Linked DNA regions of Mus musculus. The protein of the gene in region 4 purifies or fractionates together with the protein of the main gene of each other region. This does not show direct contact. Links are inferred from orthologs where the notes say so. Each region holds a gene or a part of one and is shown on either strand. Other genes may lie near its edges.

Region 1 (4,130 bases), on a different chromosome or scaffold from region 4:
TGTTGCGGTTAGCTGCTGACAATAGCAAGGACCCTTATGACCCTCATAAAGTGTATGAGTTTGTGACTCCAGGTGCGTGTGACAAGGCTGGCCTGGGGGTCACAGAAAGCTTGGGATCAGGAGGGTCTCTGCCACCTACACGCTCACTTCCACTCTGGACAGGGGCGCGGGACTTCGTACATCTGGGTGCCTCTCCTGACACCAATGGCAAAAGCAGCCTGCCTCACTCCCAGGTGAGAGGCAGTCGTCCCGTGCCTCAGCCTTCCCCCCCGCCCCCCACCCCCCAGCCCTTCTCCCGGGACCTCCATTCCTCCACCGGTTGGCTGCCCTCCTGACTCAGCTGAAGCTGTTGACCAGCTAACACCCTCCTCCTCCCCCAGGAAAACCTACCGAAGTTATTTGATGGCCTGATCTTGGGGCCCCTCAAAGATGAGGGGTCCTCAGATCTGGCTATTGTTTCTGATCCTTCTCAACAACTGCCAAGCCCCAATGTGAACAACTTCCTAAACCCTGCACCCCAAGAAAATCCACTGAAGCAGCTGCTAGCTGAGGAACGTGAGTGCCAGCTGTGGCGTGGGAAGGGCTGCGGCAGGGACAGCGCTCCTTACCCTGCTCCTCTCCATTTCTCCCCTCTCACTCCACCGGTGGCTCAGAATGGGAGTTCGAGGTGACCGCCTTCTACCGAGGCCGCCAGGTCTTCCAGCAGACACTCTTTTGCCCGGGGGGCCTGCGGCTGGTGGGCAGCACAGCTGACATGACACTGCCCTGGCAGCCAGTCACCCTGCCCGATCCTGAGGGGTTTCTGACGGACAAGCTTGTGAAGGAGTACGTGGGGCAGGTGCTCAAAGGGCTGGGCAATGGGCTGGCACTGTGGCAGGCTGGGCAGTGCCTCTGGGCCCAGCGCCTAGGCCACTCCCACGCCTTCTGGGCTCTGGGGGAGGAGCTGCTTCCAGACAGTGGGCGAGGGCCTGATGGAGAGGTCCACAAGGACAAGGACGGAGCCGTGTTCGACCTCAGGCCCTTCGTGGCAGGTGAGTGAGCACCCTATGGAACTGACAGGCCATGGTGGCTGATTGAATTCAGAGTCTGCTACTAAGTTTTGTGGCAAAAAGCTAGGCCTGTGCCTCCAAGTCCAGGGGCTGGCTGCTTAGACTGTTGAAGCTAATGTAGTACAGGCCATATAAGACACTCTGGTGTGTCCACATCTCATGGTGTATACAGAAACACTGCTGAGGCTGGGAGCTTGCCTCAGTGGATAGTGCCCCAAGATTACGTCCCCTATGGTTGGGATGCCATGTGTCAGCAAGGTAGCCAGTTTGAAGTTGCATTTATATTTGAAACTTTAGTTTTCTGAGGCAGGGTCTTGCTCTTACTGCTTCTGCTAGCCTTGAACTCTCATGCCTCCTGCCACACCCTCAAGGGCTGGCATCGAGTGTCAGTCAGAGAGCGGCATTGGGCCCCAAGCAGCTGAGGAAACATCCCAACAGCCTCCTGAGCTGCGAGCCCACCGTCCTCCTCACTGCCGCTGCTGCAGGAAGGAAGGAGTGGGGAGCACTTGTTTGTGTCTGTAGGGACTTTTCCAGATAGGCAGTGTATAGCAGTGTCAGGGAAGATACAAGTTGAGCTGGTAGACAGGGTAGAAGCCATCCTTTCTTTTCTGACCTAACTCTTGGGTTCCCAGATCTGATTGCCTTCATGGAAGGAAGTGGACACTCCCCACGCTACACTCTGTGGTTCTGCATGGGGGAAATGTGGCCCCAGGACCAGCCATGGGTCAAGAGGCTTGTGATGGTCAAGGTGCCAGCTGTCTCATGCTACTGGGGATGGGAGGGTCCACTTGTGGAGGAACCTGCAGCACCCCGGGACTAGGACCCTCAGAAGCCCCTCTGAGAAATAGCTTACCCAACAGGCCTCTGCAGCCACTGTTACCCTTCCCAGAAGCCTCTGCGTGTCCTCCACAGGACTTATTCAGTATCCTGAGCTTATTGTGACTCTAGACCCTGTAGCTGGTAGCTGCAGGTCTTTGCAGCCTTTGAAGAATGTGGCTCCCAGGGGCTTCCATTAATTAGGTGGGGCGGTCAGAGTTCCTAACAGCCCTAGGCTGAGTGAGGGTCCACCCTGGGTTATGCTGGCAGCCCCTAGCTGACTAGAGATCTGTCCTGCCTCCTTCAGGTTGTTCCTACATGTCTTAAGGAGCTGTTAGAGATGGCCCGGGAAGGGGGAGCCTCTTCACTGAAAACCGTGGACTTGCACATCTCCAACAGCCAGCCTATCTCCCTTACCTCTGACCAGTACAAGGCCTACCTCCAGGACTTGGTGGAGGACATGGACTTCCAGGCCACTGGAAATATCTGAGCCCCACTCAGCTGCTACCAATAAAGCAGTTTATGCCGCCATCACATCTGCTGTCGACTGCGTCTAGGCTGGTGGTTATTCTACAAGGCTCAGTCTTCCCATCTGCAGCTGAGGTCTAGGTGCTCCAGGAGGGAGGCACAGGGACAAAACACAGCATGGCTGCCAAGGTCGTGGAGAAAGTATCACAAAGAAAGCAAGGACAAGACAGGTCCAGAGCTGCACACACATTGTCCCTACGTGGAGCAAGGGACACTGTCACAGGTGGTGATGGTTGGCAACCGGCAAGCTTGCTGTGGGGCGGGCGGGCTGACTCACCACCACGGACTGAGTCACTGCAGCCCCACAGTGCTACTGATACCAGAGGCCACTCGGGTGATGCTCAAGGCTGGACCCTGCCTCCTGTTACCCCCATATCCCCACATTCCTAAGTCTGGTGTGACACCATCATGGTTCCCCACTCACACACCCCAACTCTTTCCTCCTGAAAAAAAGCATTTCATGATTTTTTTTTTTTTTTTTTGGAGACAGGATCTCTGTAGAGCTAGCGGTCTTTGAACTGACAGAGATCCATTTACTTCAAGGGTACACCACTACGCCTGTCTGTACTTCATGAAATCTTTAATGAAATTGGAGGGGGCATGACAGAAGGGCTGGGGCTGTCGGGGGCAGGCTGAAGGGCTAGGTCAACGGGCAGGAACACGGCTGGGTGGGGGGCTCTCCTCTTCCTCACAGCAACCTTCCCCATCATCCCACTGGGGGGGGGGGGGCGTAGTGGGGAAGTGGAGCCATAAATATGTCCAGAATCTCAGAGGCACAGGGACAGGGTAAGGATCTCAGAGAGGGGGCAGGGGCAGGCCTGGGCCACCCTTGTCTGGGGGCCCTGGTTCCTTGGGTGGCCGAGGAGGTCCTGGGGGGTCCCCCGGCTTGCGACCGTGCTTGCGGAAGTAGCGGTAGCGCTGGACGTAGGCCCTCACCAGATTGCTCACCTTGACAGGGTTGATCTCCCCGCTCTTGCTGTGGCAGATCTGCAGAACCAGGAACAACTGAGTCCCTGCAGCCCCAGGGCACCTCAACCCTGACTCAATCTTGGCCAGCCTACACTATCCCCCTCTCCTGGACCCAGGTCCCCAGTCAGTCCCCTTGGCCCCACCTTGTGGACAGCCTTCCTCAGGATGTCCTTGTACTCCTCCTTGGTGATGTCTTTCTTCTGGTAGTATGGCTTGATGGCCAACTTCACCTCCTCTACTGCCCGCTCCTGTGTGTGGAGCTTCTTCAGGTACTGGTGGGTGAGACAAGGACAGTCAAGACCAAACAAGTGCAGCCCCCCTTACCCTGGCCTGCAGTTACCCCAGGCTAGTAGACACTTATAGGCTAGACCCTGTGGCACCCTGGCCTACCCAGGCCCAGCATTCTGCTGGGAGACAAACCAGTCAAACACTATACTGTTCTTTTATGCAATGCTGGGATTGAAGCTGAGGGCTTGTCTTTTTTGTACAGTATCTCTAATTTCAAGTTGTCCATTCTTGCCCTCAACTTTTTTTTAAAGATTAATTAATTAATTATATGTAAGTACACTGTAGCTGTCTTCAGATACTCCAGAAGAGGGCATCAGATTTCATTACAGATGGTTGTGAGCCACCATGTGGTTGCTGGGATTTGAACTCGGGACCTTTGGAAGAGCAGTTGGGGCTCTTAACCACTGGGCCATCTTGCCAGCCCCCTTGCCCTCAACTTTTAAATCTCCTGCCTCAGCCTCAAGTAGTAGGATCAGAGGC
Region 2 (4,929 bases), on a different chromosome or scaffold from region 4:
TCTTGCAATTTTAACTTTATTTTCCTTCTCTCTTTCCAGTTCTGACTTCCTGCTCTAAATCCTCGGTCCTAAGGGCTAGTCTAGGTCTTCTCTTTTTTTTATTATTTTTTTAAATTAACTTTGAATTCCTTCCTGCTCCTATTAACTCTACCTCCTGTGTGCTGGGATTAGATCACAGGCCACAAGGCCTGGTTTATACAACACTAGAGATAAAACCTAGGGCCACATGCATTCTTCCAACTGGGCTACGTCCCCAGTTCTACATGGCTTTTTTTTTTTTTTTTTTGCTTTTTTGAGACAGGGTTTCTCTGTATAGCCCTGGCTGTCCTGGAACTCACTTTGTAGACCAGACTGGCCTTGAACTCAGAAATCCGCCTGCCTCTGCCTCCCAAGTGCTGGGATTAAAGGCGTGCGCCACCAAGCCTGGCTTCTACATGGCTTTTTACAAATAAGTTTCTTTTTAATTTTTTAAAAAATTTATGTCTATGCTATTTTGCCTCTCTATATGTCTGCACCATGTGCATGGCTAGTGTTCAGGAGGAATGCAAGGAAATACTCTACAGCCTTTTTTGTTTGCTTGTTCTTTGAGACAGGGTTTCTCTGTGTAGGGCCCGTTATCTCAATCCATAGAGCAGGCTGGCCTTGTCACAGGAATCCATCTGCCTTGGCCTCTCAAGTTCTGGGATTAAAGGTATATGCTCCAGCATGCCCAACTCTTTACAGATGAGGGGATACGTGCATGCTATGGTATGTATATGTGGAGGTCAGAAGACAACCTGCAGGAGTTTCTTCTCTCTCATTCCACCATGTGGGTCCTGGGGATCAAACTCTAGTTGTCAGGCAAGAACTTTAACCTGCTGAGCCACCTTGCCACCCGACTAATTTTTCAGAATAGTTTGAAATGTTGTCATAATTGAAAAAGACAAAGCACTAATCTGAGGTCCCTTCCAGCTCAGGGGTAAATTGCTGAACAAGCTCTCCAACACTAAGTCAAACCCCACATCTTTCACTTCTCTGCCTGACACTGGAACCTGTAAGGTTGTTTGACCATGTGTGAAATGGGAAGGCCACAGTTTCCGCTTTAGAGTGAAATTAGGAGACAGTAGACAACAAGGAAAAGCATCCACTTCCTGGTTCCAGGACAACTGAATGTAAATGGCTTCCTAGCCCCTGTGGCTGGGCCTGATGGTTAAGAATCCAGTACTTAGGGTGAGACATGGGATGTACCTGGGGTCCTGGTCGAAGATGAACTGTGTTCCTTGACCATGGTGCACATCCCAGTCCACGATGAGAACCCTGTGAGCAGGAGAGAGGGGAGCTCTGTGCAGGGGGCTAAGTGAAACACAGAGGAACAACCTAGACCACAGCACCCCCTATTCCATGCTACCCACGTTCCGTCTGTCACTGGCTACCAACCTCTGAATGCGGTGCTTCTTTTGCGCATAGCGGGCAGCCACAGCCAGATGGTTGAACATGCAATACCCATCCATAAGATTGTGCTGAGCATGGTGTCCAGGAGGCCTAAGCAGGAAAGGGAAAGCTACAGGTTTGGGAGTCTTCCTCTCCAGAGGTGGACTCTCCTGTGTTCCCAATTCTTCCTAGAGAGATTCTATAAGTCTGCCAGCAACTGAGTAACTGTGGCTTTTGAAGCTTCACTGCCCCCAAGCCAACACTCTCTCAACCAAGGAGATTTAAACATAACCATCCAAAGGTACCCTCACCCATATTTGCTATTGTGGCACATGCCCGCAATACTAACACTCAGAAAGAATTTGAAGCAGGAGGATCGATAGTTCAAGGCCTGCCTAGAATGTATAGCAAGCTCCAGTCTCAAAAAATAAAAATCAATTAAGCTATCCATAAGAGTATGAAAGCATACTCTTTAATACCCAGTCATTTTGCTACATAGGCTTAGCTGAGACCTATATAATAAAAAGTGCTATCTTTAGAAATGTACCACTGGTGTATGCTATCAAAGCCTGAAGAGAACCAAAATTCCCACCAGCAAGGGGGTGACTAGCTTAAAAGTATGCTTGCACAATGGCATCTCACACGAGTGTAACCCATATACTGTTAAGAGACAGCTTTCAAAGATAAAGATGTCCAAGGGTTTTTTTTTTTTTAAATGCACGGTACGGAAAGGAGTGCTGTCATGTGCTTACAAAAAGGGGCTGAGGAGGACAAAGGCTATCTTCTGCATTTTTATCAGTTCTAGGAAGTCAGCTGTGGCCCAATGTTCTGACCTTCCATGGGCAACAATGAAACAGTGAAAGGCACAGGCTGAGGCTTGAGATGTCACGCACTGTTCGCTGCATCTGAATTTCAAGATGTTCCAGATAGAAAAGAAATACATGTCCCTGAAGCCATGAACTGGGATACTTATTACTTACTAACTGAGTAAAACCATCTGTGGAAGGACACGGAAGTTACTGGTGACAATGAGCACCTTTCAGGGGTCCATCAACAAAGAGGAGAGAGAATTTTATTGAACCCCCTTTTTGTACCACTTGACTCTTCAACCACTTGAAGACAGGGTACCTGAGTTAACACATTTCACATTTGTAGGGCTTTTTTTTTTTTTTTGAGAAGGTGTCTTAGATAGCCCAGGCTCGCCTCAAATTTATATAGCTGAGGCTAGCCCTGAACCCCCCGAGCATTCCTTTAACATCCATCTCATAAGTACTGGTATTACAGACATGCACCTCCACGCACCACTATGTGGAAATGCTTTTTAAAAAAATGTAAGATGCCCAACGCTTCAGAGTCCTACCTGATGACGGCCATGCCATTCCGAATCTCAGCCCCCATGAGTGCATCTACCAGCCGGAGGACAGAGCCTGTAGCCAGGCAGGCACAGGAATATGAGTTCTGGGGACCGTGGAAAACCAGAGAGAAAGAGTTAGAGAGAGAGAGAAAGCATGGCCCTAACTATTTAGCTCTTCATTCCCACAGTGAGGTTGGCATGGATACGGTAGACACCCAAGACTTGCTGCCACACCCTGACCCCACAGTTCTCATCCATACCGGATGCAGATACACTGAATCATAGGTTTCTGCCAGTACTCGAAGCTCCCCTTCATTCATGTACTGGGTTGTCTCCATCAGATCAATGTATTCCAGGCTGGGGACACAAGATAGAGGAAAGATTTTACAGCCCTGGTCCCTCCGCAGACAGACCTCGCATTAAGTCGGGCCTCCATAGTCAACCTAGGGGGTTCAGCTGGGGTGCAGGCTGTAGTCCCTTTTTCTTCTCTAGCCTCTCCCATCTCTAGTTATATATTTAGTTCCTCGAGACAGCCATTAACTTGAAATTCTAGGCCTCTGACTAGATAGTTAAGAGTTCTGTTGATTCTCCCTTTCCTCTGCCCTTCTCTTTGCTGGACTCACCCACCTTTTTGCCTCTTGGAACTCAGCTCAGATATTCTCTCTGCGAGGCTAGTTATTCTGTGAGCCACATTGTACCAGGCCTCTTCCTTTGAGTTTCTAGACTCCCCCAGGACTCATTCTGATCATTCTGGCAAGTATCTGCCATCAGTTAACGAACCAGATTATAATAACACGAGCCCTTCACAGGCTTAAGATGCTGTCAGGTACCTGATACACACACTGACCCTCCTGAAGGACTTAAGATTTCTTTTTCTTTCGGGATTGGCTTTTTCAGACAGGGTCTCATAAACCCAAGTTAAACCTGCTATGTCGCTGAGGCTGTCTTGATTTCCTGATTCGCTTGTCTTCATGTCCCAAGTGATGACATGTACCATCATACTTGTCTGGAACTTAGGGGTTTGTGTTTTTTTTTTGTTTTTGTTTTTTGTTTTTTGTTTAAAGCAATAACATATTCAGAGAGGCTCAGGGACGTGCCCAAGGCTGGCCACAGAGTCTATGGGATTCCTTCAGTCTGTCCTGGTTGAGCCTGGGTATCCTCCTCCCCACCCTACCAAGCTCCTAAGTTTTCACCTGTGAACCAACATCAGCTCCTCCTTCTCAGCGAACCGGGCCTGGGGAGGCACAAGGAAAAAAAAGGGGGGCTAGAAGCCAGGCCAGGCCTAGGTCCTCGCAGGCCCGCACCCACCATCCGAAGGCTGTGGAGGAGTCACCTGAAAGGACACACAGCGGCCCAGGAGGCCCTCCAGGATCAGTTGCTCTCTGATGGCATGGAGCCGCTCAGGGCTTTCAGGGAAGCTGCAGGAGTGGATGGAATCACGCATACACACAGATAGGCAAAAGTGCTAGGGAGCATGTCTGCTCTTGTCCCATCTCCGCCCCTCACCCCCATAGCTGCTCACCCCTTACCGGCAACATCAGCCTTTCTTTGTCATTTCTGAAGTCTTTATACTTGTTTTCTCCGCTACCATTCACGCTGTTGGAACCTCCAGTCTGAGCTGTCTGCTCCATCATCTTTATGAGAACCCCTCTCTGCTTCTATACTTATTCCCCCAACAGCCCCTCCTGTATACTGAGCCAGCCAGTGGTTAGAATTCTACTACTCAAAACCCTTTTGTAGCTCCGACTATGTTCCCGGTAGAAGCCAAACTTCTCATCACACCGAGAAGGGCCTAAGAAAACCCGAATCTGTTCCCATCCCTATTCTGACTCTGTCTTTCTTACCACACCCCTCCTCTTTCACCTTGTTTCCCTGCAATGTGTTCCTTGCTCTTCAACGAAACCACATTGTCTTCAGCTAGGCCTGAGGACTTCAACGGTCTCTCACGCCTGGAAGTCTTTTCAGTGATGACTCACGGCTCAGTCCTTTAGCCTCCTCCAACCCTCTGTATCTTTGCTCAAATGTTAGCAATACCCCCTAGCTATTGTATTCCAAAGGGAAGCACCCCTTCCAGTCAAACCTCACTCTCCCTCCCACCTGAGCTCCTCCACTCTAACACTGGAGAGGTCACCTCTTGGTTACTTTTGAAGGCAGCTTTGTTTACG
Region 3 (4,929 bases), on a different chromosome or scaffold from region 4:
AAAAGCGAAGCCAGAGAGTTCTGTGAGTGACAGCAACTGACTTACCAGTAGGGGCACATATTATTGTATTTTTCCCTTTCTTGGCAGGCAGGGCAAGCTCCAGTTGGTAATTTCTTGGTTTCAATGGGCTGTGTAAATTATTAGAAGACGCTTCTGTAATATAGAGGGGACAAAGTTATCGAAGGGTTCATGCTACAAGGAATCATGGTGCAACTGCCATTCAGTGGACATGAGTTCTGACTCTAGCAACAATGCCCCTGTTTGAGGTTTGGGATCTTGGCCAAAGTGTGTTCTCTCTCTCTCTCTCTCTCTCTCTCTCTCTCTCTCTCTCTCTCTCTCTCTCTCTGTTACTTCTTCCTTCCTTCTTTTCTCTTTGAAGATTTATTTATTATTTAATGTATATGAATATACACATTGTCGCTGTCCTCTGACACACCAGAAGAGTACACCAGAGCCCATTACAGATGGGGTAAAAACATTAACCCAGACGCTGGAGTCACTATGTGGTTGCTAGGAATTGAACTCGGGATCTCTGAAAGAACAGTCGGTGCTCTTAAACGCTGAACCATCTATCTCTCCAGCCCCATGAATTCTTTCTTAATCGTGGAAACTTTATCAAGAAAAAGGACAGCAAGAATGGCCTAATTCAAAACAAAGCCACTTGGAACAAAGTAAGAACAGATCATCAAAAACAGCCGAGGAAAACCAGCTGTCAGCCCAGATTCTCAAAGCCATTGCTTAGTGAGCAGAAGTGTTCTTTAGAGAGCAAGGCTGCTTTGAGAAGTCATGGACACTGAAGTTCTGGGAACACGGTACAGATGAAGGCATACATACTGGAGGGAGGGGGAGGGGAGGGGAGAGGAGGGGGAGGGTTGAAGGCCATGCAGAGGCCATGGAAGACAGGAGCAGGGATTCTAATTATGAAGTCCCTATTGCCCCACAAATTCTTTCTTTTCTTAATCATCCTTTAAAAAGACTTTTTTTCAAAGGGCATCAAAGTGCTGGGGGACACCATCATGGATGAGAGCAAACGATGCTTGGTACCTGAAGGAGGCCCGGGATTCTGACTGAGATTCTGACACTCTGGCTCTTCCTGAATGAAAATCTGGATGCTGGACGCCTCCGCTCCATCATCCTCATCAGCCTTGCTTTCAGCCCTTTTGAAACCTTTGTGATAAACAGGCAAGCAAACAATCATAAACACAAATAACAGCTTACAGCTTAGAATCTTTTTTTTTTTTTTTTGGAAGGGGGTGGTGGTCGAGGCAGGGTTTCTCTGTATAGCCCTGGCTGTCCTGGAACTCACTCTGTAGACCAGGCTGGCCTCGAACTCAGAAATCCACCTGCCTCTGCCTCCTGAGTGCTGGGATTAAAAGCATGCGCAATGTGATTATGGTTTTGGTTGGGGAAGTCCCAAAAAGTCCTAACACTAACACTAAACATCTAAATTTCCGTTGAGCTCTTACAATCACGGTCTTGCACTTTCTTAACATTTTATTTATTTTTGAAATGGATTTGTTTACTGTGTGTGTCACACACGACACAGTGAGTGTGCCGAGGGATGAGGACACTGTTTGGGGATTGGTTCTATCATGTAGGCCCTGGACGTTGAATTTGGGTCTTCAGGATCAGTGGCAGGAACCTTATCCACTGAGCCATCTAGAGAGCCCCACTTTGACGGCTTAAAACAACTGCAAGGATTATTCTGAGTTTGAAGCTCAACTTGGCAATTGAATTCCAGTTTCATCTGGAACTACGCGACTCCAAGTGTGGAACCCGGGGCTCTCAGCAGTTTGCATCCGGAGCCCCTCCCCACTCCGGAACTCACGCCAATAACGCAGGGGCGTCATTCCTGAGCACACTAAAGAGACAGGATTCCATCTCTGACCAACGATGTAGAGAGTTTCTGGAATAATTTATGTTCTAAGGAAATCTAGGTGAGAAAGGAAACTAGAAACTCAGGTATTTATCAAGGTCTGTTTAAAGCAAGAAGTGAGTTTCCGGAAGCCAAATGAGGTTGGCTTAAACACAGAAAATCTTCGTTTACTCTTGCTCTGTCGGAGTCCAGATGGCTTCCGGGCAAGAGCACCAGTCCATAGCTATCACCCCCAACACTCAGCCTCTGCTCTGATAGGGAGGTAAGTCTTGCAGTTTGAACCTTTAGGTCTAGAATTCTCAAGCTATTTCTCTGATAACAAATTGGGGCTGGAAGCCTTCCCTAGATTCTTTGACCTGGTCGGGTTAATTCCATGCCATGTAGTTCCCTTCCTCCCAGAATTCAGCTTTCCACTGCTTGTATCCTAGGGATATAGCCTTTGGTATCTGAAGTGAACAGCGCCTCTGATGGAAAGTAAAGTGGGGAGAACTGGGAGGAGCGCAGCAGGGTCCAGGGTTCTTTCTTGGAGCACCCCACCTTTATCAACAATCCACAATTCACTAAACTTGCTGTTGTCTTTCTCCAAAGCAAGTTGCAAGACCTTTGGCCAGTTTTCCTTGTCGGATCTGATAAGACATTCGGCCATCTTCTCCGCACCTGCCATTCTCCCTTTAGTGTCTCGGATCTGGGGGAGACAAATGCAGCACACTGATCAGGCAGCTCAGCCTTTCCTCTGGCAAGCTTTTGTGGAAGCGGTATCTGATTGAAATCACTGTGAAGTATAGTTGAGTAGGGCTTAGTTAGCATCATCTTTTTGCCCTGTCCAGCACTAGCTTTTAAGATATTCCTTTCTTCACCTTTGTCCTTTATAATGTGTTATCAATATGCCAAGGCAAATGTTCTCATCTTCTGAATCCTTATATCCCTGACCAAGAGCAATCCTGGGGTAAAAGCGTTAACCCAGACGCTAACCATTCACCCTAAGGATGTATCGGCACACAGAGCCATTTGGAAATGCCTAACAGCACAGCAGCAGGTCTCTTTTCTAAGCAGATGTTCTATGACTTTTCTTTCTAATGATAACTGAAATGCATTGTGCATAGACTGCTATGCATCAAGCTGACATACACATTTTGTGCATGACCTCTCATTTAGCCCTAAAAGAGTGCTAATAAGGTACATTTTCGTCGGGCGTGGTGGTGCATGCCTTTAATCCCAGTACTCGGGAGGCAGAGGCAGGCGGATTTCTGAGTTCAAGGCCAGCCTGGTCTACAGAGTGAGTTCCAGGACAGCCAGGGCTACACAGAGAAACCCTATCTCGAAAAAACAAAACAAACAAACAACAACAACGACAAAAAAACCAAACAAACAAAAAAACAAAAACAAAAACAAAAACAAAAACAAAAGGGGGCTGGAGAGATGGCTCAGGGGTTGAGAGCACCGACTGTTCTTCCGAAGGTCCTGAGTTCAAATCCCAGCAACCACATAGTGGCTCACAACCATCCGTAACAAGATCTGACGCCCTCTTCTGGAGTGTCTGAAGACAGCTACAGTGTACTCACATATAATAAAATAAAATAAAGAAATCTAAAAAAACAAAAAAACAAAAAACAAAAGATAAATTTTCTTACTTTAGACATGAAAAACAAACAAACAAACAACAACAACAACAACAACAAAAACCCCACAGATGCTTAGAGAACTGCCTGGCATCACATCACTAGTTAAGTGACTGCGAGACTGTAATAAATGTATCTATGCCCAAGAGCCTGACATATTTTTCCTTTTAATTGTTGCACTGTTTGGTGTGATTTGCATTATGCATAAACCACTATTTTTTTTAAAGTAAGGGGGCAACTTTAACTGCAAATAGGTTAAATAATTTTCTAATAGTCTAGCACAAAAATTACCCCATTCACTTTAAAAATTCTATTCTAGTCATTATATCTGCTAGATGAGAGCTTTTATGGGTTTCAATTATCCTTGGGCCTAAAACAAGACAGAAAAATGGGCATTTCCAATGTCTCTGCATTTTTCTTCAAATTTAGTACCTGGCATTGGTTTACCTGTCTGATTTCTTCACATTCCTGATTAATCAAACATTCGGATAGTTCAGAAAGGATATCATTTGGATCAACTGTGGCCTTAAATTCTGGTTCTAAACGTCTTAAAAGTAATCTGTGTTCCTCTAACTTTTCAATTTTTTGAAAGTCCCAACTTTCGATGGCTTCACAAAGTCCACAGTAACCTGAAAAAGAAAAGAGAAATGGGGATTTCTTAAGCAAATCCAACATAAAAATGCTTTGAAGTCAAAATCATGGGAATCCTGTTCAAATCAGTGGCAAGGGAACTGAAAACCATCTGCAAATGGCCTCAGTCACTGGACAGTCTGGGGAGCCAGACCATGAGGCTGACAGGTTGCAGGCTTGGACACCAGCTGGTGACAGTCTTTAGAGGTGACCACACCCTGCGGGACCTGGTGACCACATCCTTCGAGTCCTGGCGTCACCACTGGCAGCACATTGAGTTCATACAGAAGGAGCAACTGAGAACTGTACCCTCTCTGGGAGAAGTGAGTCACTGGAGATGTGCTTTGAAGAATGCATCTTGTCCAGGGCCCCTGCCCGGCACCCTTTGCCACCTGTCTACCAGAAAGTGCGGCTTTTCCCACATGCTCCCGCCATGGTGCCCTGCCTCACCACGCACGGGTGCAGAAGCTACAGATCCTCTTGGCTCTCATTTTTCTGCTTTTTATTTCCTCGGGCATTTACTCACAGTAGTTAAAGTCAACTAATACAGCTATTCATGATTTTCCAAAATGGGAGTAATACTCATTTTTGGTACCCAACAGTTTAGGTCTCCTAAAATTCATTATCTTTCAGGGTCAAGTCCTAAGGACAGATATGAGGCCTTGTATTTGACCTTAGAATAAAATCTTCAAAATGCCCCTCACGCACTTTAACAACAACCCACAATATATTTTTTTTTAATATTTATTTCTATTTTACTTTGCATGTGTCTGTGTATCGTGAGTGTGTCTGGTATCTTTGGAG
Region 4 (5,599 bases):
ACACCTGTGTGGCAAATCACTGTCCATTGCTGAGTTTTCCTAAAATTACAGATTTTTCTGCTCTCACAAAACCAATTCTGAGAGAGGTCCAGGGAAGACATGATAACTGGGAGAGGGGCCCTAGGAAGCTGGTGTGGAGACCCTGCCTCAGGGAGACGACTTGAGCTCCAATTCTGCCCTGCATGTCTTCTCCCATGACTTTGACTCAGCAGGTCTAGTCCTATGGAAAGGACCATACCTAGAAGGCCTTACAGGGTGACACCCTTCTCAGCCTCTAGCCTTCCCAGGACTGGGTTCCTGCTAAGAGCTCATTTTACTTTATTCATTTAATTTGTGGTTTGTTTTTATTTTTCCCTGAGACAGGGTTGCTCTGTGTAGCCCTGGCTGTCCTGGAACTCACTCTGTAGACCAGGCTGGCCTTGAACTCAGAAATCCACCTGCCTCTGCCTCCCAAGTTCTGGGGTTAAAGGCATGTGCCACCACTGCCCTGCTTAATTTGTTTTTTTTTTGAGAGTAGGACTTGCTATGCAAGCCTGGCCGAGCCTTGAATTAGAATTCCTCTTGACTCAGCTTCCCAAGGGCTGGGGTTACAGATGTGTGTCATCATGCTAGCTAACAGGTCACTCTGGCCACAGAAAGCAGCATTTCCTGGTTTTGGCGTTTGTATTGGGGGTTGAACCTAAGATGTAACACATACTAGGCAGGTGCTCTGTCACTGAGCTATATCCCTATGCACCAAATTCCCATTAATGATATCTCCCGGGTATATCCCTACTAAGCTAAATCCTCATGACCTGTATCCCTACTAAGCTAAATCTCTATAAGCTGTATCCCTACTAAGCTAAATCTCCTGTATCCTTACTAAACTGTATAGCCAGATTCTTTATTCCCGCCCCCCAGCACCCAGACTTTTTTTCTTTCTTAGAAGCCTCATGCAGCCAAGGCTGGCTTTGAACTCTGGAACCTCTGACCTCCCAAGTACTAGGATCACTTTCTATTTTGAAACAGTTTCACCAAGTTGCTCAAGCAGAATATCTTGAACTTGGTCTTTTCCTGCCTCAGCACCTCAAACAGCTGGAATAACCAACCTGTGGCACAGGACTGGCTATAGCTTGTATTTTGGTTCCTAGATGGAGGGCAGGTGGTCTGATCCCTTTGTGCTTTGAAGCCACTAAGGCCTGAGATACATGTACCTTCCGAGAGAGAGAGAGAGAGAAAGAGAGAGAGAGAGAGAGAGAGAGAGAGAGAGAGAATATGAATGTGTGTGTATGTGTGTGTGTGTCTGGGCTGCAGTGAGGAATCTCTGGTTGCAATGAACAGGTTGTGACTACTGCTGCCTCTGGAGCCCTGGCTACCCCTCTTACAGGGTGGGTTTGTGAGAAGTCACCAGTGCTTGTCCAACACCTCTCAACCTGATCTTTGTTAAATTGGGTGAGGCCTAAGATGGTGGGTGATGTTCCTTTATTCAGTGAGGGGCTGGTCATGGTGGATGCCTGGAAGGGGGTGGGAGTGGGGGCTACTACCGGGGACACTATGTTTAGGAGGGTCGGAATAGCATCCTGTGAGACAGCCTGTTTGGCTAAAAGAATGGCTACCTGACAGTAGACATCTGTGTCCTCCTAGCTTCTGGGCCGTACATCCCCCCTGGCTTGGGGACGACACTGCTGAGTCATAGGCAGGCCCAAGCCTGGGAGGTACCTAGGCTCGATACTTACGGGTCCTTTTCCCAACGACTTGAGGCTGAGGCTGGTCTCTTGTGGTCACCCATGTATTCGGTGGGAAAGAAAAGAGTAGGCAGTGGGGTCGTCTCGACCCCGTACCTTTCAAGGGTCCCATCAAGGGGGCTCCAGCGGCCGCCCCAGCCTAGGGGAGGGGCGGGGCTCATAGAGGCTCCGCCCCCACGAGGCGGGGCTCCCCCGTTTTCTATAAAAGCTGGGCTCTCGGCGCCGCCGCTGCCCAGCTGTTTCGTCCGTACCTAGACCGCGGTTATGGCGTCGTTCACGGTGAAGGCCTATCTTCTGGGCAAGGAGGAGGCGACCCGCGAGATCCGCCGCTTCAGCTTCTGCTTCAGCCCGGAGCCGGAGGCGGAAGCCCAAGCCGCGGCCGGCCCGGGGCCCTGCGAGAGGCTGCTGAGCCGAGTGGCTGTGCTGTTCCCCACGCTGAGGCCTGGCGGCTTCCAGGCGCACTACCGCGGTGAGGGCCTGGGGCGGGGAAGCCAACCTCCCCCGCCAGGGAGTAGTAGGTCTGGGCGAGGACGAGGCGGCGTGTCCTCTGGCTCCCCGCGGGGACAGGGTGGTCAGGCGGCCGCTCAGGTTACATCTAACATCCAGCGGTTCGCTTGCTCCCCGTAACGCCCGGTGGTGGGTTCAGTTAAAGCCCCGGAAGACCTGGGACCAGGCAGACGTGGAGGAGGGGTGGAGAGGAGTGACGCGGATAAATAAGCAGCGGGGGCGGGGTGGGGCAGCCCGTGGGAAGGGAGGTAGGGGACCCCGGAACTAGCTCAGTCTCTTGCGTTGGAGTGGCTGGTGGCTGCATGGGGTGGAGCTAGAGGTTGTTGACAAGAGACGAGTGGACAAGACCCTCCCTGTGGGAGGGAATGGTTTTGCGATCTCTATGGAGGACTGTGGGTAGGCCAGGTTGGTTGGTCAGTCTCTCTCTTTTCTGAAATAAAGCCACGTAGCCTGATTGGCCTGGAATTCACGAGTGGTTTAGGCCGTCCTCAATCACTCCAATCCTCTTGTCTCAATTTTCTAGTGCAGGAATCACAGGGACTACTGGACAGAAAATTTTCAGTGTAACTGCGTTATAACCTAGGACCTGTGCAATTCACCCAGTAAAAGTGTATAACGATTATTCTTTCGTATTAGCAGAGACAGGTCTTACTATATGGCCGGGATGGCCTGTATCTCTAAATTGTCCTTCTGAGTCATCTTTGTGCTAGGCATCCAGTCCAGGGCTTCATGCATGTTAGGCCCTCGAGCAACTGAGCTACCTCCCCAGCTCCTTGCATTTAAAAAAAAAAAATGAGTTGTATAACTATTTTCACATTCGGCTTAGAATCTCTTCATTGTTTTATAAATTTTATTTATATATTACATAAAAATTATATAACAATTATTGTAATAATTATTATTTTATTATATAATTTTTTTCCTGTTTGTCATCTTGTATCCTTTCCAGTTCCAGGCAATGGCTGGTCTACTTTAGTATTCATTTTACTATTAGGAATTAGAACACATTAAAATGGCTTTTTTTTTTTTTTTTGGTTGCTTTTTCAAGACAGGGTTTCTCTAGGTAGCTTTGGCTGGTCTGTAGACCAGGCTGGCACAGTGAATCTTTGTTCATTCACTTATTAATATGTCTAAGGCCCATTTGTATTACAGCTCTCACTAGTACATCTTCCCCCCTCCAGTACTGGGAATTGAACCTAGGGCTTTGCATATGCTAGTCAAGGGCTCTATTTCTGTACATGGGCAGTATTTAATTTCTTTTTGTGTATGAAGAATAGTCTTCTTTGAATATGTCATGTTTAATTTATCTGGTCTGTAGTTTATGGACACTGTTTCTTTTGAGGCAATCTCTCTCATCTCCCTTATGGTAGCTGTTGCTAAATGGTTGCTCAGAGGCTCAGTCCAGCCTGCAGGTGTGTGGTTTTGGCCTGTATAAGGTTTTTGTACTGTATCAGGTTTTATACAGACTATTTGTACTGACATAGAAGCATATGGCTGTGATCCCAGTTATTGTGAGCTAACAAAATGAAGCCAGATGGGTTTGAGAAATCGCTCAATGGTTAAAGCCTTGGCTGCTCTTCTAGAGGACCCAAGTTCTGTCCCTAGCACTCATCACAGCTGCAGGTCCTGGAGACCCAACACCTCTTCTGGCCTTTGTGGCACACACATACACTTAAGTGTGTGTGTGTGTGATGTGTACATACAATATTAAAAAAACAAAACAAAACCTGGAAGCCTGGTTGCATGTTTGTAATCCCAGCACGAAGGCGGCTCATCCACAGGTTGTAGGCTGTCCTGCTCTAAGTAGTGTCAGGCCAGGTAGGGCTACATACTAAGATCCTGCCCCTGAAAGCAGAAAACATAGAATTGACAAAAACAGAACAAACAACAACCTCAGAACAACTTAGATGCCAGGCATGGTGGCTGCACGCCTTTAATCCCAGCACTTGGGAGGCAGAGGCAGGCAGATTTCTGAGTTCGAGGCCAGCCTGGTCTACAAAGTGAGTTCCAGGACAGCCAGGGCTATACAGAGAAACCCTGTCTCAAAAAACAAAACAAAAAAACACCAAAAAACCCAAGAACAACTTAGATGGAGCCTGAATGTAGTGGTTTCTAGCTGTCTAGTTGAAGGGAGGGGACAGATGGACTTACGTCCTTTACTTCTGAAGCCTGAGGCCTTTGAAGGGCTGGGCCATCAGGACTAGGGTGGGATCTCCCAGGTGATGGACCCACACCTGGTTAGGCGTGGCCTGAGGGCACAGGTGGCCCAGTGGTTAGTGGCAGGAAGCTGGACCCTTATACACATATACACATGACATATGTTCTGCCTTCTGCATGTAACTAATCTAGGACCTAGGTTGGAGTACATATTCATGCCGTATCGGAATGAACGGCCATCTTGCTGCTTGGCTCAGCAGCCAGGTTGAGTGTAGAGCCTTAGTAGATGTCCCTTTACCACTGGGCTCTGTACACTGCAGCAGATGCTGGGTGCCTCTGCTGCATTTTAGCCTCTAGTTCTGGGAATGGAACCTAAGGCCTTTGCATGCTCCCGCCGAGCTGTGTCCCTGGCTCTGATGTGTCATTTCTTGAACAATCTAGATGAGGATGGGGACTTGGTTGCCTTTTCCAGTGATGAGGAGCTGACAATGGCTATGTCCTATGTGAAAGATGACATCTTCCGCATCTACATTAAAGGTAAAGGCTGAATCCGGGGCTTCCTTCCTGTGGGGCTTTCCTCGAAGGGTCAGGAGTCGGAGTTGTGATGCCTTGGGGTGGGTGTAGCGGGGCTGGGAGTTGTCAGAGGCACAGAGGTCCTGGCCTCCTAAGCGGTTGTCCTTAGCAACTAAGTTCTGGATGGACTCTTTGACTCTCCCTGCAGAGAAGAAGGAGTGCCGGCGGGAACATCGCCCACCATGTGCTCAGGAGGCACCCCGAAACATGGTGCACCCCAATGTGATCTGTGATGGTTGCAACGGGCCTGTGGTGGGAACTCGCTATAAGTGCAGTGTGTGCCCAGACTACGACCTGTGCAGCGTGTGCGAGGGGAAGGGCCTGCACAGGGAACACAGCAAGCTCATCTTTCCCAACCCCTTTGGCCACCTCTCTGATGTGAGCCGGGGCTCTGCCGTCCTGGGGCGTGGGGGGCATACAGGGTGGTGGGAGCTGGAAACCCTGACCCCTCACTCTCCTCCTGTCTTGCTTCCTCCTACCCAGAGCTTCTCTCATAGCCGCTGGCTTCGGAAGCTGAAACATGGACACTTTGGCTGGCCTGGCTGGGAGATGGGCCCACCGGGGAACTGGAGCCCACGTCCTCCTCGTGCAGGGGATGGCCGCCCTTGCCCTACAGCTGAGTCAGGTAAGACTGGTAT
Region 5 (4,929 bases), on a different chromosome or scaffold from region 4:
AGATCTCTTCCTTTCCTCACATTGAATGATCTGCATTTCTATTATGCACAGGAATATTCCTGGGAATGTGCAGGAGCTCTGCGCACATCACTGAGCTTCCTCACTCTGATGCAAGAGTCAATTACATGCTCAGAGTTGGAGGGGAAAATATGCTGTAGTAGAATTACAAGAAGACAGAGTCAGATTCAGCCCCTTGCAGTGTTTCAGGATTCTGACACACACTTTTCATAGCAAAGAAGGATTCTGATTCAGGAATTTTGTCTCCAGAGTCAGTAAAACTGCCCCGTCTGAACATAGAACACAAAATATCCCTTAGATAATTTTAGGTCTCCAATCTCTTCCTAACGTTATCTCCATTTTCCCTTCAATTCAGCTTCTTTCTTCCTGGGGTTTTACTGTGAATGAAGGCTGCTTGGGTAAGTGTGGACCCTAGCTAACATCTTTTCTCTCTTGTCACAGCCTCAGAAGAAACAGATGGTGGCAGAACAGGAAGCCATCAGAGAAGATTTACAGAAAGATCCACTTGTTGTCACGGTGCTGAAAGCTATAAATCCCTTTGAGTGTGAGACTCAGGAAGGAAGACAAGAGATATTTCATGCAACAGTGGCCACGGAGACAGATTTTTTCTTTGTAAAAGTTTTAAACGCACAGTTTAAAGATAAATTTATCCCAAAGAGGACAATTAAAATATCAAACTACCTTTGGCACAGTAACTTCATGGAGGTCACCAGTTCCTCAGTTGTGGTTGATGTTGAATCTAACCACGAAGTCCCAAATAACGTTGTTAAGAGAGCCAGGGAAACTCCCAGGATTAGTAAACTGAAGATTCAGCCATGTGGAACAATTGTGAATGGGCTGTTTAAAGTCCAGAAGGTAAGTTCCTATACGCAATTTTATATTGATCAGTAAGAATAATATAAAATATAACACCTATTCTAAGCCTTAATGGGACTTTAGAAAATACATTTCAATGTTTTTTACTCTATTAAATCTGAAACAATTAAAATAAATTTAAAAATTGATTTTAAATCATTTTAACAATTAAAAAAGAATTTTACAGAGTTCAGGATTTGTAGGATGATAATTTACCAAGACAAAGCTCACCAAGTTTTATTTTGTATTTTTGATTGTTTTGCTGTTTGAGACAGGGTCTTACTGTGTGGCTTTGTCTTATGTGGCATGCACTGATATTCGCTGCCCCTACCTCTTGAGTGCTGGGATCCAAGTGCATGTCACCACACACAGCGAAGGAAGGTTTGATTTTGAAACTCTGATTTTGAAATTTCTTTTTTTTTTTCCGCCTTGTAGCTTCTGAAGCATAGACACAGGCATCTTCACCTCTGTGTTGCTTTTATGCACTTAGATACTAGCCATATTCAAAGTCACTGTTGGGTTGAGCACTCTGCAGAGGACTGATGTACAGGTATGGTTTGAAGACAGAGAGAGAGAGAGAGAGACAGAGGAGAGGGAGAGAGAGAGAGAGAGAGAGCCTGACTTGAGCTTCTAAAACATCAAGGCCCACCCCCAATGACATTTCCTCCAACAAAGCCACTCCTACTTCAACAAGAGGCCACATATCTTAATCCTTTTGCATACTGCCACTCCCTGTGATCCTGTGGGGACCATTTTCATTCAAACCAGAAATCAGGTTAAAAAAAAATATATATTAGTCTTGTACGAACAGTTTTCTGGCCTAAGAGCGACCCTGAAGAACCACAGGAAACGTGTTGATTTCTGAACTTGTAGCCAGGATGGCCTCTCTCGTCTTTTCAGAAAGGAGGCAGGAGGGAAATGTCTTCCTTGGAAAATTAAAGCATAAAAAACACTCATCCCCTCTCAGTTCTGAGCCTTCCGTTTGATCAATTACCCACTAATGTTTTCTCATTTAGTGAATAAAACTAACATTGAAATATTGATATTTTACATCCCTGACTAGAATCTGGTCTCCTTCTAATCTGGACTTGACTGTGAATGATATTTCATTCATGGTTGACTTTTTACTTTTAAATTTCTTCACTAGGTCTTTTATTTTTGGTTCATGGGTTTCTGTTACTTGTTTCCTTAAGTGACTCTCCTCCTAACCAGGAGGTGCTCCTTTCCCATGACTGCCCCCTGCATGCTGGCCCTGGAGAAGCCCCACCTTCCCTGTCTACCCGTTGTTTCTGTGAGTTATTCTGGCCTCCCAAAAGAAAAAAACCTTGGGACTAGGAAGATGGACACAAGAGGCAACATGCTTTTAATATAATCCTCCTACCCCTTCCACTGAGATTTGCTAGAATCTGTTGGGTAGAAGTTTGGAATTATTTATTATATTATTTTGGAAAGCTGCTCCTAGCTTGTCTGATAACTGATTGATATGCTGCTCTTTCTTAGTCATCTAGCAGGACTTGACTCATATTTTCCTTTCACAGATAACAGAGGAAAAAGATAGAGTACTGTATGGTATACATGATAAAACAGGGACAATGGAGGTGTTGGTGCTGGGAAACCCAAGCAAAACAAAGTGCGAGGAAGGAGACAAGATTAGACTCACGTTCTTTGAGGTGTCAAAAAATGGAGTGAAAATTCAGTTGAAATCTGGACCTTGTAGCTTTTTTAAGGTATGGAAATTCTCAGAAGAGGATGTTGTTTTGTGTTTTCTATTGGAAATCCAATGAACAGGATGGCAGAGAAGAGCTTAATATGTATGCCTTTGCATCTCACAGACCTGAGAAGCCTGTCATTCAAAAATACATAACCCAGATACACAATTCAAAGCTGTGGATTTCCCAAGGAAAACACACATATGCGTGTGCATGTACACACACATACACATACACACACACACATACACACACACACACACAAACACATACACACATGCACACACAAAATCTCACTCTCCTTCTTTTCTTCTTCTTCTTCTTCTTCTTCTTCTTCTTCTTCTTCTTCTTCTTCTTCTTCTTCTTCTTCTTCTTCTTCTTCTTCTTCTTCTTCTTCTTCTTCTTCTTCTTCTTCCTTCTCCTCCTCCTCCTCCTCTCAAAGAACTTTCCACAATGAATTTATTGAATACAGTCTAAATCTAATGAAGGCAGCTTTCTCAAAGTTGCACACATCATTCTGGCAAATGCAGTTAAAAGTCAAGTCAGACTATAACACCCTGACAACAAACATCTGAGCCAGGGCAATCATCTTCACATCTGTCATAGTCCAAAGCAGTTAAGTCAGCTATCACATCCCCGTGCTGATGATCCCACTGATTCTGCTTTCCTCTCTTCCTCACCACTCAACTGTATATATAGAGTTATTAGATGGGGACCTGAGAAGTCTTCATATTTGTCCTTCTTGTGTAGGAGTGTGTGTGTGTTCAGGGCAGATATAGTTCAGGAGAGTTGTCCAAGAGTGACAGAATTAAGAGGAAATATGTGTTAGGTGAGGAGATTTGATGAGAAGAAAGGAATTTTCAGGAGAACACAGTAAGTGAAAGTAGAGGAGAATTAATTAATCAACAATATTTCAGTCTTCATCTTCCTTTCCTACCCAGGTTATTAAGGCTGCAAAGCCAAAAACTGACATGAAAAGTGTGGAGTGAAGTCACCTCATTTGAAAAACCTTTTCCTGAAGAATCCTGATGCTGCTCCTTGAACTAGACTGAACTACCTGAGGATAGCATTTTACAACCTCATCATCATATTGTATTACTTAGAAAAGGACAAATACTCAAAAAACATCTGAAAAATATATGTAAACTTATTATTAATTAAGTTATTAAGACTGCCCAACCTGGGGATCCATCCTATATACAACCACCAAACCCAGACACTATTGCATATGCCAGCAAGATTTTGCTGACAGGATCCTGATATAGCTCTCTCTTGTGAGGCTCTGCCAGTGACTGACAAGTACAGAAGCAGATGCTCACAGTCATCTATTGGATGGAACACAGGGCCCCTAATAAAGGAGCTAGAGAAAGTACCCAAGCAGCAAGTGGTCTGCAACGCTATAGGAGGAACAACAACATGAACTAACCAGTACCCCCCAGAACTGTGTCTCCAGTTGCATATGTAGCAGAAGATGGCCTGGCCGGTCATCAATGGGAGGAGAGGCCCTTGGTCTTGCAAAGATCATATGCCCCAGTACAGGGGAATGCCAGGGCCAGGCAGCAGGAGTGGATGTGGGTGGGTTGGGGAGTGTGTGTGGGGGGTGTTATAGGGGACTTTCGGGATAGCATTTGAAATGTAAATGAAGAAAATATCTAATAAAATTGTTGCTTTGTCTAAGGTTTGAGATATCATTCTTCTCTACATAGACACTGAGGGTATAAGTATGGCGGGATTGCAGATGTGACAGCAGGGCCTTGTCGGAGAGACGCCTGTGGGTGATAGAGAAGATTGGTGATATATAATTTTTTAATTTAAAAATTTTAAATTTCCTTTTGGGGAGGAGGTTACAGGTGGAGGAGGGTGGGTATGATAGTACTAAGAAATCAGTGATATTGGGGTATGTGATGTGAAATTCCCTAGCACTCAATAAAAGAATTATGTTTTTAAAAAGAAAGATTGTTGATAAATAAATAAATATGATTTTACTCATGATTCAGAAAGTTAGAAAAAAGTTTGTGACTGTTCTATTTTTATTACTTATTCCATTTTTGATATCATAATACAATGATACTATTTCCCTCTTTCCTTTCTTCCCCCTAAATCCTCCCATGTACCATTCCTTGCTTTCTTTCAAATACATGGCCTTCTTTTTCATGAATTGTTGCTATAAGCATATATGCATATCTACATATATATATAAATACAACCTGCTCAATCTGTACAATGTTGCTTGTATGTATATTTTCAGGGATGACCATTTGCTATTGAATGATTAATTGCTGTGCTTTTTCCCAGAATAGACTGTTCTTCCAATAAATAATGTTAGGTAATTGCAAAAATCACATTT

The links. The genes of interacting proteins can lie anywhere in the genome.
Region 1: the proteins of Sqstm1 (region 4) and Irf3 purify together in Homo sapiens (affinity purification with western blotting; 4 studies listed by BioGRID). This does not show direct contact. The link is inferred for Mus musculus from reciprocal best matches to the Homo sapiens genes SQSTM1 and IRF3.
Region 2: the proteins of Sqstm1 (region 4) and Hdac6 purify together in Homo sapiens (affinity purification with western blotting; 6 studies listed by BioGRID). This does not show direct contact. The link is inferred for Mus musculus from reciprocal best matches to the Homo sapiens genes SQSTM1 and HDAC6.
Region 3: the proteins of Sqstm1 (region 4) and Ddx58 purify together in Homo sapiens (affinity purification with western blotting; 5 studies listed by BioGRID). This does not show direct contact. The link is inferred for Mus musculus from reciprocal best matches to the Homo sapiens genes SQSTM1 and RIGI.
Region 5: the proteins of Sqstm1 (region 4) and Aim2 purify together in Homo sapiens (affinity purification with western blotting; 3 studies listed by BioGRID and IntAct, with this or other methods). This does not show direct contact. The link is inferred for Mus musculus from reciprocal best matches to the Homo sapiens genes SQSTM1 and AIM2.

Annotation. Positions count from the first base shown.
Region 1 is NC_000073.6:44,999,992-45,004,121, forward strand, and holds the end of Irf3 (interferon regulatory factor 3), read left to right. Parts: coding exon 1-72; intron 73-162; coding exon 163-233; intron 234-380; coding exon 381-555; intron 556-653; coding exon 654-1,031; intron 1,032-1,681; coding exon 1,682-1,797; intron 1,798-2,172; coding exon 2,173-2,355; 3' UTR 2,356-2,857; downstream 2,858-4,130. Other genes in the region: Scaf1 (splicing factor, arginine/serine-rich 19), read right to left, coding at 3,189-3,380, 3,506-3,634.
Region 2 is NC_000086.7:7,940,617-7,945,545, forward strand, and holds part of Hdac6 (histone deacetylase 6), read right to left. Parts: intron 4,183-4,929; coding exon 4,098-4,182; intron 3,999-4,097; coding exon 3,958-3,998; coding exon of another isoform or gene 3,954-3,957; intron 3,122-3,953; coding exon 3,025-3,121; intron 2,869-3,024; coding exon 2,771-2,868; intron 1,522-2,770; coding exon 1,417-1,521; intron 1,297-1,416; coding exon 1,228-1,296; intron 1-1,227.
Region 3 is NC_000070.6:40,225,553-40,230,481, forward strand, and holds part of Ddx58 (antiviral innate immune response receptor RIG-I), read right to left. Parts: intron 4,125-4,929; coding exon 3,943-4,124; intron 2,562-3,942; coding exon 2,414-2,561; intron 1,168-2,413; coding exon 1,045-1,167; intron 154-1,044; coding exon 46-153; intron 1-45.
Region 4 is NC_000077.6:50,207,147-50,212,745, reverse strand, and holds the start of Sqstm1 (sequestosome-1), read left to right. Parts: upstream 1-1,925; 5' UTR 1,926-1,988; coding exon 1,989-2,193; intron 2,194-4,829; coding exon 4,830-4,925; intron 4,926-5,109; coding exon 5,110-5,339; intron 5,340-5,444; coding exon 5,445-5,586; intron 5,587-5,599. UniProt on the Homo sapiens protein: Molecular adapter required for selective macroautophagy (aggrephagy) by acting as a bridge between polyubiquitinated proteins and autophagosomes.
Region 5 is NC_000067.6:173,461,448-173,466,376, forward strand, and holds the end of Aim2 (interferon-inducible protein AIM2), read left to right. Parts: intron 1-459; coding exon 460-873; intron 874-1,308; coding exon of another isoform or gene 1,309-1,416; exon of another isoform or gene 1,417-2,405; intron 2,406-2,411; coding exon 2,412-2,600; intron 2,601-3,523; coding exon 3,524-3,571; 3' UTR 3,572-4,593; downstream 4,594-4,929. UniProt on the Homo sapiens protein: Sensor component of the AIM2 inflammasome, which mediates inflammasome activation in response to the presence of double-stranded DNA (dsDNA) in the cytosol, leading to subsequent pyroptosis.